2 linked regions of the Canis lupus familiaris genome follow. The protein of the gene in region 1 interacts with the protein of each later gene in a pairwise test. Links are inferred from orthologs where the notes say so. Each region holds a gene or a part of one and is shown on either strand. Other genes may lie near its edges. The genes, in order: ADARB1 and PRKRA.

What was found.
Region 2: the proteins of ADARB1 (region 1) and PRKRA interact in binary tests that used the Homo sapiens proteins (3 or more experiments, as listed by UniProt). The link is inferred for Canis lupus familiaris from reciprocal best matches to the Homo sapiens genes ADARB1 and PRKRA.

What each region holds. Positions count from the first base shown.
Region 1 is NC_049252.1:38,698,407-38,702,218, reverse strand, and holds part of ADARB1 (double-stranded RNA-specific editase 1), read right to left. Parts: intron 3,811-3,812; coding exon 2,876-3,810; intron 1-2,875. UniProt on the Homo sapiens protein: Catalyzes the hydrolytic deamination of adenosine to inosine in double-stranded RNA (dsRNA) referred to as A-to-I RNA editing.
Region 2 is NC_049257.1:22,402,504-22,406,315, reverse strand, and holds part of PRKRA (interferon-inducible double-stranded RNA-dependent protein kinase activator A), read left to right. Parts: intron 1-166; coding exon 167-245; intron 246-1,408; coding exon 1,409-1,526; intron 1,527-3,158; coding exon 3,159-3,253; intron 3,254-3,812. UniProt on the Homo sapiens protein: Activates EIF2AK2/PKR in the absence of double-stranded RNA (dsRNA), leading to phosphorylation of EIF2S1/EFI2-alpha and inhibition of translation and induction of apoptosis.

The sequences.
Region 1 (3,812 bases):
GACCTCCCCGCAGGTGGGGCGCCATCAGCTCGAGGGCTGGCCGGGCCGGGAACATGACCTCGAGTGTGACGGACATCAGGGAAGGGAAGGGGCGGCAGGAAGATCCACGTGGCTCAGCCCCGCTGCCCTGGCTCGGCCACTGCCCAGGAACCGGCGCCGAGCAGCCCGCAAGGGCACTTATCATAAACTCAGGCCCCAGGGCACCCGACGGCACCCACGGCCGTGCTCTCCGAGGGCCCGTGGCCAGACCCGCCGCGCGCAGCACACACACCAGGCCGGCTGCATGCACGCTCTCGTCCCCACGGCCTACAACTTATCTCGGATACAAGGGTTTGGGAAATGATGCCTGACGGGAGGTGTGTGTGAAGAGCTGCGTCCCCCCAGTCTCACCCTGGGCGGGAGCATCAAACAGCTAGACCCAGGGTCCCCAGCTTGCCCCTTAGCAAAACACTCCCAAATGGACAGAAACGTCGCTCATCCCGAACGACAGCTTATTTTGACAAAAAGGAAAGTCGCCAGGACTTCTTCCTCCTGCCGCCGCCCCGGTCAGTACCAAGGAGCCCCCAGAAGGCCGCGCTCAAGCCAGAGGCAGCGGCACGGACGGAAGACGTGGGCGGCAGGCCTCCCCGCACCCCTGCACGGTGTCACTGCCACACTCGGGCTGCGGGCGACCCGGCGGGGACGGCGTCAAAGATGAAGGACCACGTGTTGCAATGCACATAAAAGAAAAAGATCTTACGAGAAGTTAAGAGAAACGCTTCCGTTCCGTAGAGGCGAGGCGTATCCCAAACCACTGGGCTCAGAGACGCTCAGGGGAGGTCAGGCCCCTACGCGGGCGCTCACTGGTCAGAGGAGGCATCTCCGGCACCCAGGCGGCTCCTCCGTCCCCTTGAAGAGGACACAACCCCCTTCCTACAGGTAGGGAAGCGACTCTCCCTCTACATGCTGGGGGCGGACGACACAACGAGGGTCACGCCCATGTCCCCCAACCCCGGGCGGCCCCCAGGACTGAGAGGCCCCGGCCCAAAGCTGGCGGTGCCGCTCCACGGGATCCAGACACTGAGGGCTCGGCACACCTCACGCGGCCCACAACGTCTGGGTTAAACCCTGAGACGTCGCTATGAACACGATGAGGGCAAAAGGTCCTGAGGCCAGGGACTCAGGGCTGCTCCGGGCCAACGGTGAGGACGCTCGCCACTCCAGAAGCACACTGGAAACTTCTGGTGCAAGGGCACGGAGCCCAGACACCAAGCTGGAAGGGCTGCTCCTATGGGGGCCACTGTAGGTGCTCCCGGGAGAACGTGGTCGTGTCTCCCGTGGGGGCTCCGGAGACACCACGGTTGGGGCTCGGGGAGCTCCGCTGCCGCAGAGGCGCAGAAATGAGCGCCAGGCCCTGCAGAACCCGGGCGAGTGGCACGGGGCAGGGCTGGGATGGGCCCTGCCCGCCAACCCCCTCCTAGGCGGGATCCCGGACGCCCACCCCGGTGAGGCTCCGCGTGGCCCCCGGCGCGGCTCTGGTCTCTGCTCCCGCTGAAGGACAGGCCCAAGCCGGGAAGTGCCCACATGGACCCCCACCTGCCTCCCCGCCCGCCTCCCCGCCACGGGGTCACCAGGCCTCGGGCGGGATTCCAGTCGCCCCCCACACTGCTCTGTCCACGTCTGCTCATGTTCAGGGAAGTCAGGGGGCCTCAGACACTAGGGGAACTCAAGCTGGAATATCCTGCAGCAGACGGGAAACCTGAAAATAAAACCTCTCTAGGGAGCTGGTGCTGCCGATTTATGAAATTATAAATGGGCTAATACCCTCCTGAATAAAGGTTCATAAGATGTTCGCACAGGACGTGATTATTGGGTTTGTGAAGTACCAGTAGGATGTTTTGAATATGGTACTTTATACTGACGCTGTATTTGGTTGCTTCTGGCAAAATAAAATAAAGTGTCTCCTAAAACCTAGAAGTACTGGTGACCCCAGGCAACGGCACAGAGAGGTCACCCTAACAGTGCTCTGAGGCAACGGAGAAGCTGCGACATTCCGGATTCTTCTAAGAAAAATCCAAGCCGTCCCACCTGGTGATTTCCGGTCCTTCGTTTTTTTTTCTGATCAGACCAGTACGTAACTTATCTTCAACACGGATAATATTTTGACAAAATGGCAGAGAAGGGGGGTGAGATTTTCTCCCTAAAATACTAACTTTTTTACTAGGCCAGAAAAAACTCTGGATTTCCAAGAAGAGAAGCAACACATATCAGAGTTCCCTGGAACGTCAGAGATGCCGGCTACACGCGACTTCCCCTTCGGTCTTCCCCATTCGCGAATGCGATGAGCCCACCCCGAAATCCTCCCCGTCTTCCCCCTGGTCTGACGGGCCGAGGAGCAGGGGACCCACGTGGATCCCCTAGGACACTCCAGGTGAAGGTTCCGGGCAGCGTGGATGCTGCCGAAGGGATCCCTCGCCCCCCACCGCCCCTCCAGGACGCCCGCACCTGTTGTGGGGCACCCTCGGCCCGGCCGGTCCCCCGTGCTGCTGTGCAGCGTGGGGCACCCACGCAGACCCGCACGAGGGTGTCGGCTGCCGGCGGGCCAGCCTGGGAGTCCCTGGTGAGACTGCGGGAAGCACGGCTGAGCGGCGCGGGCTGCCGGCTCCGAGGGGCCCCGCGGGGGAGGAGCGTGCGGGAAGGGGCCGCGGGCTCTGGTGGGCGGGGCTCCGTGGGCCCGCGTGGGGCTGCAGGCCCAGGGCCGCCCGCCCGCCCGCCCGCCCGGAGCCGACTCACCGGTGACGATCCGACGTCCCTCAACGGCGCCCGGGAGGCCGAAGCCCTGTCCGAAGCGCCGTCGAGGCGCGGCCAGCGTGGCCGGCAGCGGCGCGTTCCTCACCTGCGGTAGGTGCAACTGCAGGCCCTCGCTGGGGATGGGCTGGCGGGACGGCGTCTGGTCCAGGTGCAGGTTAAAAATGGTCGCCAGGGCGGACTGCGCGGCCCGGGCCTTGGCGAGCTTTTTGTTCCTGCCCGAGCCCTCGAAGAACTGGCCGTCCACCACCACGGACATGACGAAGCTCTTGGCGTGGCTCTCCCCGCTCTCCGACAGGAAGTCGTACTTGAGCCCGGGCCGCAGCTCGTTCAGGATCATCACCGGGTTCTTCCCGCTTGGGGGCGGGAAGGGCGGGGGCCCGGGGAGCGGGGGCTGCGCCAGGCCCGCGGGCGCCGGGGACGCCGCCAGGCTGAGGTCCCCGCTGGAGCTGAACGAGTCGTCCCCGTTGGAGCCCAGGTAGAAGGGCACCTCCGACCTGTCCGGGGTCTCGAAGCCGTTGAAGAGCGTGTCGGGGAAGTCGGCCTGGTCGGACGTGAAGTCCGTGTTGGCGGACAGGGTCCTCCCCATGGCCAGGTGGGCCTCGGAGGCGTTGGGGAACTGCACGAAGGAGCGCAGCGCCTTCTCGGCGGCGTGCAGCTTGGCCTTCTTCTTGGTGGGCCCGGAGCCCTCGAACACCTGCCCGTTCACCTCCACGGACATGACGAACAGAGGCGCGTGCACCGGCCCCGTCTGCGACAGCAGCGCGTACTGCAGGCCGGGCTTGATCTCGTTCAGCTGCATCAGGGCGTTCTTCGGCAGCGCGGGGCCCGGCGGCCGCCTCCTCTTCTTCAGGCGGAACTTGGCGTGCCCGTTGCTGCCCTCTTCCAGGGGCCGCTTCCGGCTGGCGCCACCGCTGCCCCCGTTGGAGAGCGGGGCGCCCTCGCCGGGCCCGGGGGCGCTGCCGTCCTTGGGGGGCACGCTGTCCAGACCGCAGCTTTCCTTAACATCTGTGCTGCTCGAACCT
Region 2 (3,812 bases), on another chromosome or scaffold:
CACATCTTGGATAATGGACAGATCATATTTCCATAGGAGAGGTGGGAGAGAAAGGCATTCTGTGGAGAAGAGCAAAGGCATAGAAGATTAGATAAGAAATGCATTCATTTATTTAATAGTTTGGAGAAAATTATTTTGTTTTATAACATTTTAAAAAAATGTTCAGCTTTGCAGTTCCTGACCCCTTAATGCCTGACCCTTCTAAGCAACCAAAGAACCAGCTTAATCCTATTGGTTCATTACAGGTAAGTCACATGGTTTTTCCTTCTGTAACATTTTGTCTATTGAAGAAAGATGTCATAAAGTAATAATATCACAAGGGCTGAAACAAGGAATAGATAGTTTAAAGATAAGATGTATAATATTCTGTTTTCCCAGTTATGATCATTGGATATTACAGCACTAACTTGAAATTATTCTCCTGTTTATTTATGTTTTGGATTTTCTTCCATATACAGTATCTGCCTTTGGTTTGTGGAATTCTCATTTGAGATCAGCAGGACCCCAGTGCACATGGGTAGAGTGTTTTATACTTTAAGAATATTTCTTGCCACTCTTGTGACAAACTTCTTTCCACTTCTGTTAAGACAGAAGATTTTATTAAAAACCCAAATTGGCCCCCCTCAGTGCCGGCACTTGACGGGATGAGCACTGGGTGTTACTCTGTAAGTTGGCAAATTGAACACCAATAAAAAATAAATTTATTATAAAAAAATAAAAATACAAATAAATAAAAACCCAAATTGGGTAACCTACCTCAAAAAAAGGGGAAGTCATCTATTTGCTTATTCTACCAAAAAAAAAAAAAATCAGCTTTGAAGTTCTGCATGCAGAATATCTTTCTTGCAGATTATCTATGTGCTCTGTTGGACAACTCTCCTCCCTGTTACCCAGCCAGGCCTTTGGTCCCTTTCTTGCTGTCTTTTCTATAGTTTTCTTCCCCTGATCTTTCCTGATTGTCCAAGTCTGTATATTTGCTGCCTTTGCTCATCTGCTCGTGTTCTAGTGCAGTAGTTAGCCAGCTGAGGGCAGGAAGTCTGTAGCTAGGAGGGAGAGGCATTAGGAACTGATGACAGTGAGACCTGTCGATGTTCCCCAAAAGGGCGATAGTAGCTCGTCTTTCTCTTTGAGCTCTTTGATATTTGCTCGCTGTGGCTTAATGAAAGAACACCATTCCCATCCTAGCAGTAAACTGCTTCAGTTTCGGTATTGTGGGCTTGCAAGATACAAAATGCAGGAATATTTGTGGGAAATACAGGGTCTTCTCCCATTTTTCTATTGCAGAATATCATTATTCTTTTCAAACATAGAAATAGAAATAGGATAGAAATCATGAAAGACTATCATTTATGTGATGAAGCTGTTGCATAGTAAAAATTACTACTGAAGCCTCATCTCCATTTTCTAGGAGTTGGCTATTCATCATGGCTGGAGACTTCCTGAATATACCCTTTCCCAAGAGGGAGGACCTGCTCATAAGAGAGAATATACCACAATTTGCAGGCTAGAGTCATTTATGGAAACTGGTAGTTACTCTTTTTACTCATACAACTGAAGGCGTTTGAAATATTTTCAGATGATGAATGACCCTAGAAATTTCTGTTATGGTTTCCTTTCAAATATTTCTGTGGGGAAAAATTTGATGCACTCTTATTCTACTATCTCTTTCTGCAGTAGAATTTAAGTATAAATATTTGGCTTAAAAATATATTTGGCTTAAGAATACTTAGGCTTAATTTGATAGTTTTAAAAATCATGGAAAAGCTTGGTAACAACAAAGTAAATAATTGACTTTACATAGTCTGCATTGATGTGTTAGTGGCTTAAAAATTATTTTAGAAAAAAGCAATAGCAAATATCTTGGAAGTTTCAACAGCTGTTCTAGAAGATTGGAAGACTAGAAGATCACATTTGAAAACAAGATGATTAATAAGAGGCTAGATGGCAAAAAATAGTGTTAGATAAAAATAAAGTAGAAATTATCCTTTATAATGATAGCAACTTCCATGTTGTAAGGACTAGAAACTGAGAAAAAAGTCACTTAATAGAGTACTAGTGAGGGTTCCTATTGTAGCTTCTCTAGCGTGTTTCTAGCATTCTTAAAATGGCACCAAATGGAATTGGCTATCTGTTTCAGGTAATCAAGCAAGTAATCAGCAAGCCCCTTGAGAGGCAGTGCAGGTCAATATAGAAAGCACTGAACCCCAACTTCTATTTTTTTTAAGATTTTATTTATTTATTTGAGAGAGAAGAGTATGAATGGGGGGAGGGGCAGAAGGAGAGGGAGAAGCAGACCCCCCTCTGAGCAGGGAGCCTGATGCAGGGCTCCATCCCAGCATGCTGGGATCTTGACCTGAACTGAAGGCAGATGCTTAACCGACTGAGACACCCAGGCACCCCACCTAGCTTCCATTCTTGATGCAGCCCTTGGTTTGCAAAGGTAGGCAAATTACTTCATCTCTCTAGGCCTCAGTTTTTAAATCTGTAAAACAAAAAGCATGGAAGTAGATAATACTTTGTCTTTTAATTGCAGATCTCCTATGCCTTCTTACTCATGTTAAAGAAGAATTCCACATAGTTGTCAGTTTATAGAAGATTTTAAGCAAGAAATAGACATCAAGAAGGAAAGAGTTGTGATTGATTCAAAAGTACCTTAATAGATTTGAATACTTAGAATTAAACCAAATATGATTCATTATAGCTAGGCATAAGGAAATATGCCTGTTAAAAAACAAAAAGTATAACTATTAAAGATAAACTGTCAAAAGTGCCTTCATAAATGTAAGAATTAATAGAATTAATAGTTGTATTGGGGCACCTGAGTGGCACAATAGGTTAAGCACCTGACTCTTGGTGTCAGCTCAGTTCGTGGTTTCAGGGTTGTGAGCCCTACATTGGGCTCTGCACTCAGCCTAGAGTCTCCTTGGGACTCTCTCTCTCTCTGCCCTTCTCCCCCCACACTCATGTATGTATTCTGTCTAAAATACATAAATATTTTAAAAAATCATTGTTTGAAGCACAATAAGCAAAGATGAGCATATAAAGATCATGAAGTTATTCTCTGAGCAGAAATAATACCTTATATATCTGATTACTCTCTGTGGATACTAATTACTTTTCTAAACCTACCATTTCTTTTTCTTTTTTTTTTAATTTAGGAAAGGGGGCATCAAAAAAACAGGCCAAGAGGAACGCTGCTGAGAAATTTCTTGCCAAATTCAGTAATATTTCTCCAGAGAACCACATTTCTTTAGTGAGTAATGATCAAAACACCTATGATGTCAATATGATTAAGCATCTCATGCTGTAGGAAACGTCCCTGGATTCCTTGTTGTACAGACACTGTAGAGTTGCAATTTTTAAAATGTCCCTTCACTGTCCAGATGTACATGACCTAATTTTAGCTGTCACAAGGGTGACCAGGTAAGAGGGCTTGGGAGACACAGTCAAATTCAGAATCACATCATGTGATCTAAAGATGACAGGCCAGTAGTGCCATTTTTGCCTTCAAATTGACAATGCCTTCATTCATTTATCCACTCATTAAACATTTAGTGAGCTCATACTGTCTGCCAAACTTTGTGCCAGGTTCTGTGCACACTGAATAAGACAGTGTCTGCCATGAGGGAGTCTGTAGCCTCCTGAAAGAGAAAAGAACCCAATAGGCTGGTCCTAACAGAGAGGGCTTGGGAACATAGAAGAAGGTCCAACCAAGACTGGCAGTTTAAGGAAGACTTCTTGGAGGGGGCAATATCTAAGCCAAGACCTGCAGGATGAGAGCAGAGGACAAGAATTTCAAAGAAAAAAGAGCA